2 linked regions of the Oryctolagus cuniculus genome follow. The protein of the gene in region 1 purifies or fractionates together with the protein of each later gene. This does not show direct contact. Links are inferred from orthologs where the notes say so. Each region holds a gene or a part of one and is shown on either strand. Other genes may lie near its edges.

Region 1 (3,646 bases):
AAAGCAAAAAACATGTGGATGTTTGCTCTGTTACATAAGCAGTGAATTGAAACTTGTGTTTTGGAGACCACAAGATTAGATGTTTAGTTTCAGCCTTGATTGAGTGAATTTTGCTGTGCTTTCTCACACAGTTCTCATTGTGAACTTTATTTAATGTTAAATTTGAAAAATTTTTTAAAAAATATCAGTGTTGCCAATTACAGTGTCAAAAATTTGAAAGTTGTATGAGTTAATTTGTTGTGGAATTAGGAGCTCTTTGAGTGGTTGCCCAGTTCTAGGGACTAGATTGGGAAACATGAACATGCATTTCATTTCAACAGGAAGGCATATTTCTCTTGTAGGCTGACATTTTATTTTACATCTGTGCTGTTTCTTGACAGATGATCATGAGACAGGAGGTTTTAGAGACCAAGTCGTGTTGTATCCTGGGACTAATCAACTTGATAGGATGAAAACTTGCTTTTTCTCCCAGATTGTGCTGTTGTTTGTTTTGTTTGTTTTTGTTTGGTTATTTTAATAGAATATGTTTTGTCAGTAGATCAAGAAAAAATCTGTCAAGTCATAATGTGGCCACATTAGTTTGATAGTGTTAAACATTTAGAGGTTATTATAAAATACTAGAGTACATTTGTGTGAGTGTGAGTATTCTGTTTCATGTAATGAGAAATTCACTTATTGAGCCATTTAAGAACTACTTTTAATTTGTTGTTACCATTGTTGCTTAATGATAAATTTTACTAAGTAACTTGACCATAAAATATGCTAAGTGCAAAGATACCTTTTAAAATTTTCTAATTTGGTTTAAGTAAGTTGCTCTTATTTTTAGTAAAATGTTTTAAATTGACTTGCATGTGGTTCATCTGGGAATTGTTGTAGAGTCTTTTTCAGAGAATAAGAGGACGAATGTGTACTGTTTTACAGAGATTTATGTACAAGCTTGACCCTGTTGTTCCTTTCAGTTTTACAATATAATATGGCTACTGACATTTTTACTCTTTTTCTGGACAGGGTGGACCAAGTAAGCTAGTGCAAAAACACTTAGCTGGTTTGTTTAACAGCATCACATCTTTTTACCATCCTTCAAATAATGGGCGTTGGCTGGTGAGTATGTTTATTTTTGTACTGTAGTACTTGAAGATTTTCAAGATACAGCCATACGTATAAATTGTCTATTCTATGACTTGTAAAAGCATTTTGTTTGCTTCATGTGAAAATATAAACTTTGGCTGGAAGGGGTACTTCAAAAAGTTTGTGGAAAATGGAATTAAAAGATGGGCATATTTTGGTGTAAAAATCCAATACATAAATTTTTTTCTTCCAAAAGTTCATAGATAATGCATATTATGAGAACTATGATTTTTCTGCAGTAAAATAAACTTATCTTTTGATTCTTTCCACATTTTAAACTATGTTCTGTATTAAGTGATTCAGTTCACATTCATTTACTGTTTCATAGAATGTATGGAGATAAATTATGACAATATTGATGTGGTAATTAGTGACAGAATGTAACATTTTGGCAACAAAATAGCAAAAATGCCACAAAATCATAGAATCATCTTTTCAATATTAACTTACCAGCAATGTTTTGTGGTTTTGCTTTATTTAAGTAGCCTGGTTAAAATGGCTTTTCATAAAATGGAAAATTTAAGAGGTGCTAGAAGAAGTTCTTTTAGAACTGGAACTTCCAACTCAATAGTTAACTTTCAGTAATTCCTTGGTAAAAGTATGTTTATTCTATCTAAGTGTATCATGTAGATTTAATAAGAGGTGTTCGTTTAAAATCCTTTCTCTTAGAGAAAGGAAACTAGCTAGAGCCTTTTGCTTCTGTGTTCCCAGAACAAGTTAATGAAACTACTTCAGCGGTTGCCAAACAGTGTTGTTAGAAGATTGCATCGTGAAAGATACAAGAAGCCCTCTTGGTTGACTCCTGTGCCTGATAGCCATAAGCTCACTGATCAAGATGTTACAGACTTTGTACAATGCATTATTCAGCCTGTCCTCTTGGCTATGTTTAGCAAAACTGGTAGTCTAGAAGCAGCCCAGGCTTTGCAGAATCTTGCACTCATGAGACCTGAGTTAGTAATACCCCCTGTACTTGAAAGGTAAGTGTAGTTTTGCATGTTTTTATTGAAGCCCCTTCATAGTTAGATTATTCTTGATATCTGTTCCTTTTCCTGGCCTCTTCTACTTGGTTGCTTGTCTTTTCGTTATGGCTTCTGTTTTTGTTTCACCATGCTTATTTCTGTTCATAGAGGAGAAATTCATTGATCAGCTTTGAGAACATAGCATTGACTCAGTGATACAGAAGAAAAGTTCATTACCTATTATTTTCCTGAATTATGTAATTTTAAGTATATTTTTTACAGTGTGAATTTCATTGCATTTGTTTAGTTTTGTATATTGAGACAAATAAAAATAGACCTCTACTTGCCAATCATTATCACAGTATAGTCTTATGCTTCTTGAGAGAGAGCTTTCAATTTAAAAAAAAAAATTGAGAGGCAGGCACACACACACACACACATATCATATCTGCTAGTATACTTCTCAAAAGTACACATTGGCTTCTGGCTGGGACAGAAGCTAAGAGCCAGGAACTCAATTCAGATCTCCTCTGTGGATGTCAGGAATCCAGTTTTTTTGAGCCATCACCACTGCCTCCCAGGGTCTGCATTAGCAGGAAGCTGGAATCAGCAGAAACCAGCAACCTAGCCCACACAATCTGCTGTAGGACATGGGCATCTTAATTCCTGCCGTTCAGTTTTTGAGCATTCAAGAGCAAACTACTTAAGCTTTCTGTTAGACCTCTGTTACCCAAACTTGAGCCTATGACTTCTCTCAAAATGCCTTTGTCAAAAGTAGAGGAAGGATGTTGATTTATAGAGCTCATAAGGATCTAACAATTGAGTTCCATAACAGTTTGTCCAGGGTTCCTAGTAGAAGAATTCAAATAACATATTTTCTAATCACTGTTGAAACAGGGTAAGTATTGATCCCATTTACTTGAGATAGGTTACCTTGTTAAAGATCTTGACCCAAGTGGGTCTCCATTATCTATAAATTTCACTTGTTCTGTCTCACTGTGTCTGTCTTGACATAAATATTTAAGTTAGATTGTACCTCACTTTCTCAACCTCTGTTTTTTATGTGTGCATATTATGGCACTAAAACTCTTCCAGCGTGTACAGTTTACTTAAAAAATGGATCATGGGAGGTAGGCAGTTTCTTCTGTTTTCAGCCCTCGGTAATCTTTGCTGCTTGGCTTCCTTCGGATGGCAGAAGCTAGCAGTCAGTGGTAGCTTCCTTGATCCTCCCTGGGAGGGAGGACCTTCTCCTGTCTTCATAGCTGTTTTGCCTGTTTCTGTGTTTTTCTGCTGATCATGAATAATGAGGTACATTTTTAGTCGAAAAAACTTCAACTAACATTAACTTAGGTTTGAATGTTTTTCATCCTAGTTATAAATCCTCCTTTTTCCCCCATCTGAAATATAATGCACTTTCCTTTATTGCTTACCTTTGCTGTGTAAGAATAATTTGAAATGACTGTATTCTAGACTTAAGATTCTCAGAAGTAAAATTACTAAGAGTGGATTGGCTCTTAAATAATGAACAGTCAAATCTTCCCCCTGGTTTATTTACTCTG
Region 2 (3,746 bases), on another chromosome or scaffold:
GGAAGACCTCTCCCTACCTCTCCAACTCTGTGTGTCAAATAAATCTCAAAGAGAAAGCGCACATTAAAAGATTCGCAAGGCTCTCAAACAGCACCTGCGACTCCACACCCTCGGAGGCTCCCGTCCGTCACCATCCCCGGCTCGGCGCTGCCCAAGGCCCCCCACTCGTGACAATCCCGTGGCGACAAGATCGGTCTCCATCTTGGTGACAGCCCGAGGACCACGTCCCCAGAGGCGGGCGCACCCCTCCCGGCGAACCCACAGAGTCCAGCAGAGGAACACACGCAGCCGCGCGAGGCGCCGGGCGCGTGCAGAGGGGCGCGGCGAACGCCAGCTTCCTTCCTTATCTGTCGGGCGGGGAAGCCGAGAACGGAACGTGCCCGCTCCCCCGCACCCGCGCGGCCCGACTCACGCCGAGGCGCGGGGCTGCACAGCACAGCCGGGTTCCCGGGCGCGGGGCACCCGCGTGCGCTGCGGGGCGCCCAAGCCCGCGCCGCGTCCTTTGTGCCCTGGGGGCTCGCGCCTCGCCGAGGGGCGTCCCCGAGGCCGGCCCGCACTCCCTCGCGCGTGGCCAGCGGCGCTCGGGACCCGGACCCCCGACACGGGCGCCGCCGCCGCCCTCTCCTCCCAGGCGGCCGACGCCACGCGCCCTCGCCCGCGCCCGCGGGTCTCCGCGCGCCTCCGGCAGAGTGGGCGTGGGCCCCCCGGGGAGCGCCGCTGCGGACGGCGGGCGCGGGGCCGCTCGGCTGCGCCCCGGCTTTGTTCGCGCCCCGCGCCCGCCGGCTGCCCGCGCCCCAGCCCGCGCGTGCCCGCGCCTCGCGCCCCGGCCCCACGCACCTTCTGAATGGTCTGCTGCGTGACCTCCCCTTTGCCCCTCGGCCGGGCGGACGCGAAGGCCACGGACATTGCGGCGACGCGGGGCTCAGCCCGTGACCATCAGGGCTTATTCCCCGGCTGCGCTCGGCCGCCCGAAGAGCTCATTCTCCGCAGTCGCCGGGGGGCGGGAGGCGCGGGGGACGCCGCGCCGTGGGCTCGCCCGCCCCGCCGCCCCGCGCGCGCCGCCGCGCCCGCCGCGCCGCCTCCCGCCGCCGCCGCCCCCTCCGAGGCCGCGCCTCGCGTGGCGCCCCCCGGCGGCCGGCCGGCGCCCCGCGCCCGCTCCGCCGCGCCCCGCGCCGCCCCCCCCGCCCCGCCGCCCGTGGTTAGGCCCGGCCCCGCCCCGCCCCGCCGCGCGCCCGCACGTCCGCCCGACGCCGTGACGTCACCGACGCGCAGCGTGGGCGCGGCGCAGGGCGCGCGCGCCGGCCGTGAGTGTGCGCTTTTGAGAGCGGCGGAGAGGGTGGCCCTGGGCCCGCGCCGCGGCCGCCGGCATGAGCTACGACCGCGCCATCACCGTCTTCTCGCCCGACGGCCACCTGTTCCAAGTGGAGTACGCGCAGGAGGCCGTTAAGAAGGGCTCGACCGCGGTGAGCCGCCGCGCCGGGGCCTGCGCGCGCTGGGGGCCCGGGCCAGGGGCGCCGCCGGGGGCCCGGGCGCGGCGGCGGGCGGCGGGCCTGGGCTCGGCCGGGGGCGCGGGCTGCGGACCGCTGCTCCCGGGACGGCGGCGCGGCGTCCCTTCGGCCGTGCGTGTGGCCAGCGGGCCGCTGGGAACCCGCGGGGCGCCGGCTCCGTGGCGCAGAGAAGGGAGCCGCAGCCCGGGCGGGGCCGATGGCGGCGCTGGGGCGCGCATGGCGTCGGAGGCCGCGGGTGAGGGGCCAGGCCAGTAGCCCGGGGTGCCTCTGGGTGCGTGCTTTCCGGTACGGGAGCGGGCCGTGCCCTGCACCTGCCGGCGGCGGGCCAGCCGGACGCACGGGGACTGTCCTGGCGGCTCCCGGAGTGATGCCAGGCCACTGCCTGCCCAGGTGGGCACGTTGAGCTCGGGGCTCAGGCGCCTGTCTCGTTCCCACCAGCAGCACCTGGGCGCACCTCGGGAGCGCGCGCGCATGTGGAGGAGGGGTGGTGTTTCTCACAGGAGGCTGGGGGGCCCCGGGCCAGGCCCCCGGGGGTGCGGTGCCTGGGCAGCGTCTGCCCCCTCGCAGACAGCGCCGTGGCGCGCGACGTTTTTGTCCCTTAGAATCCTAGACGTTCAGGGCCACGACGCGGATTCTGAGGTCGCCACTTCCTGGCTCGTGTGACCGCCTGCAATTAGGGTCCCAAGTCCAACTCTGACCTCCTCCCCACCCACGCTCGCTCGGGCGGACGCACAGCTGCGGCTCCCGGAGCGTCTGGCCGAGTCGGCACCCGGGACCTCCCTGGAAACCGGGCCAGTGCCCCTCGGCCCGCGGGCACTGCCGTGTGGAGCGAGACTGCTGCTGGCATGCCGTGGGCGGGGGCGGCTGCCCAGGTCGGCACTGGCCGGCGGGGCTGAAAGGCCCTGTGCTGGAGGGCGGGCACGCGCGGCGCCCACCGATTGCTGCGGTTGGTTTCTAGGCTGTTTGATTGACGTGTGGGATGGCCGATTCCTGAGGTTCCGGTGTGTGTGAGAGGCAGAGCCCCCACCCGCCGGCTGACTCCCCAGAGGCCCCTGACCGCCACCAGCCAGGAGCTTAGTCCGGGTCTCCCAGGAGGGGGGTGGGAGCTGCGCCCCGACTCTGATGGGGGCTCGGCGTCCCATGCCGAAGCGGCTCCCACGCCTGGTTAGGAGACGGGGAGGCCTTCATACTGCTCACGCCCCTTGGGCCCGCGACAGTGGGTGCCAGTCTAGGCCGGAGCCGGGACCCTGCGTGGGTCCATGGTCTGCAGCCTTGCCAGCCCAGCCCTCTGAGCAGGGGTGGGGAACCTGTCTCTGCCGGGCCGTTTGCGGTCGTACGGAATTGTCCACTTCATAATTAGCCTGCCGTGATTTATCGGATTTTGAATCCCACCCGTGGTTGCCTTGGCGGGCGGTGTCCGGCGACGGCTGACAGCAGGCGGCCCCTCCCTCGTGCCGGGAGGTGGCTTCACAGCTCGCCTGCGGCCGGCGCCCCTGTTCAGACTCCGGCCCACACGGCAGGTCCCTACCCGCAGTGCCGGGCCCGGGCTGTCGGGCTGTGAGCTGTGGGCTGCGCGGGTGAGCACAGCTCCGCGTGGCGGCTGCCGGCCACGCCCCAGGACCGTGTTGCCGTGTGCTCCTGGCGCCCCGCCTCCGCAGTTTCTCATGCGGGCCGTGGTTTTCATTGGAGGTTGGCGTCCGGGGGAGAGACATCGTCGTCCTTGGCGTGGAGAAGAAGTCGGTGGCCAAGCTGCAGGATGAAAGGACCGTGCGCAAGATCTGCGCGTTGGACGACAACGTCTGCATGGCGTTCGCAGGTGCGCGACCGGGGCCAGGGCCGCACTCAGGGTCCCGGTGGAACCTGGCTGTGCAGAGGGACGCGGGGCCCCGGGCTGTTGCCAGACGTCAGTGGATTCGGACTTCAGGAGTTAACTTGGGGGTTTTTCTGTCCCCCAAACACGAGCCCCGCCTGACCTGTGGCATGCAGAGGGCAGACAGGGCTGCCCGTGGCCAGCAGCAGTACACCTGCCCCGTGACGGGGAGGCACGCACTCGGCCCCTGCGCTCCCCCAGGGCGCGGGGCGGCTCCCTGACCTGGTTCTCAGAAGAGCCCCGGAGGCTGCTGGTCCCGCTCTGGCCGCTAAGGGCGAGGGGGGACCGTGCCCAGAGGTCAGGCTGCGGAGTAGCCAGGGTCAACGCCGTCCTTGCTCGGAGTCTCCCGCTCCTTTGCAGGCCTCACT

The links.
Region 2: the proteins of PSME4 (region 1) and PSMA7 purify together in Homo sapiens (affinity purification with mass spectrometry; 4 studies listed by BioGRID and IntAct, with this or other methods). This does not show direct contact. The link is inferred for Oryctolagus cuniculus from reciprocal best matches to the Homo sapiens genes PSME4 and PSMA7.

The regions. Positions count from the first base shown.
Region 1 is NC_091433.1:148,786,435-148,790,080, forward strand, and holds part of PSME4 (proteasome activator complex subunit 4), read left to right. Parts: intron 1-1,008; coding exon 1,009-1,101; intron 1,102-1,839; coding exon 1,840-2,105; intron 2,106-3,646. UniProt on the Homo sapiens protein: Associated component of the proteasome that specifically recognizes acetylated histones and promotes ATP- and ubiquitin-independent degradation of core histones during spermatogenesis and DNA damage response.
Region 2 is NC_091442.1:1,220,636-1,224,381, forward strand, and holds the start of PSMA7 (proteasome subunit alpha type-7), read left to right. Parts: upstream 1-1,251; 5' UTR 1,252-1,367; coding exon 1,368-1,463; intron 1,464-3,197; coding exon 3,198-3,324; intron 3,325-3,738; coding exon 3,739-3,746. Other genes in the region: SS18L1 (calcium-responsive transactivator), read right to left, coding at 838-906.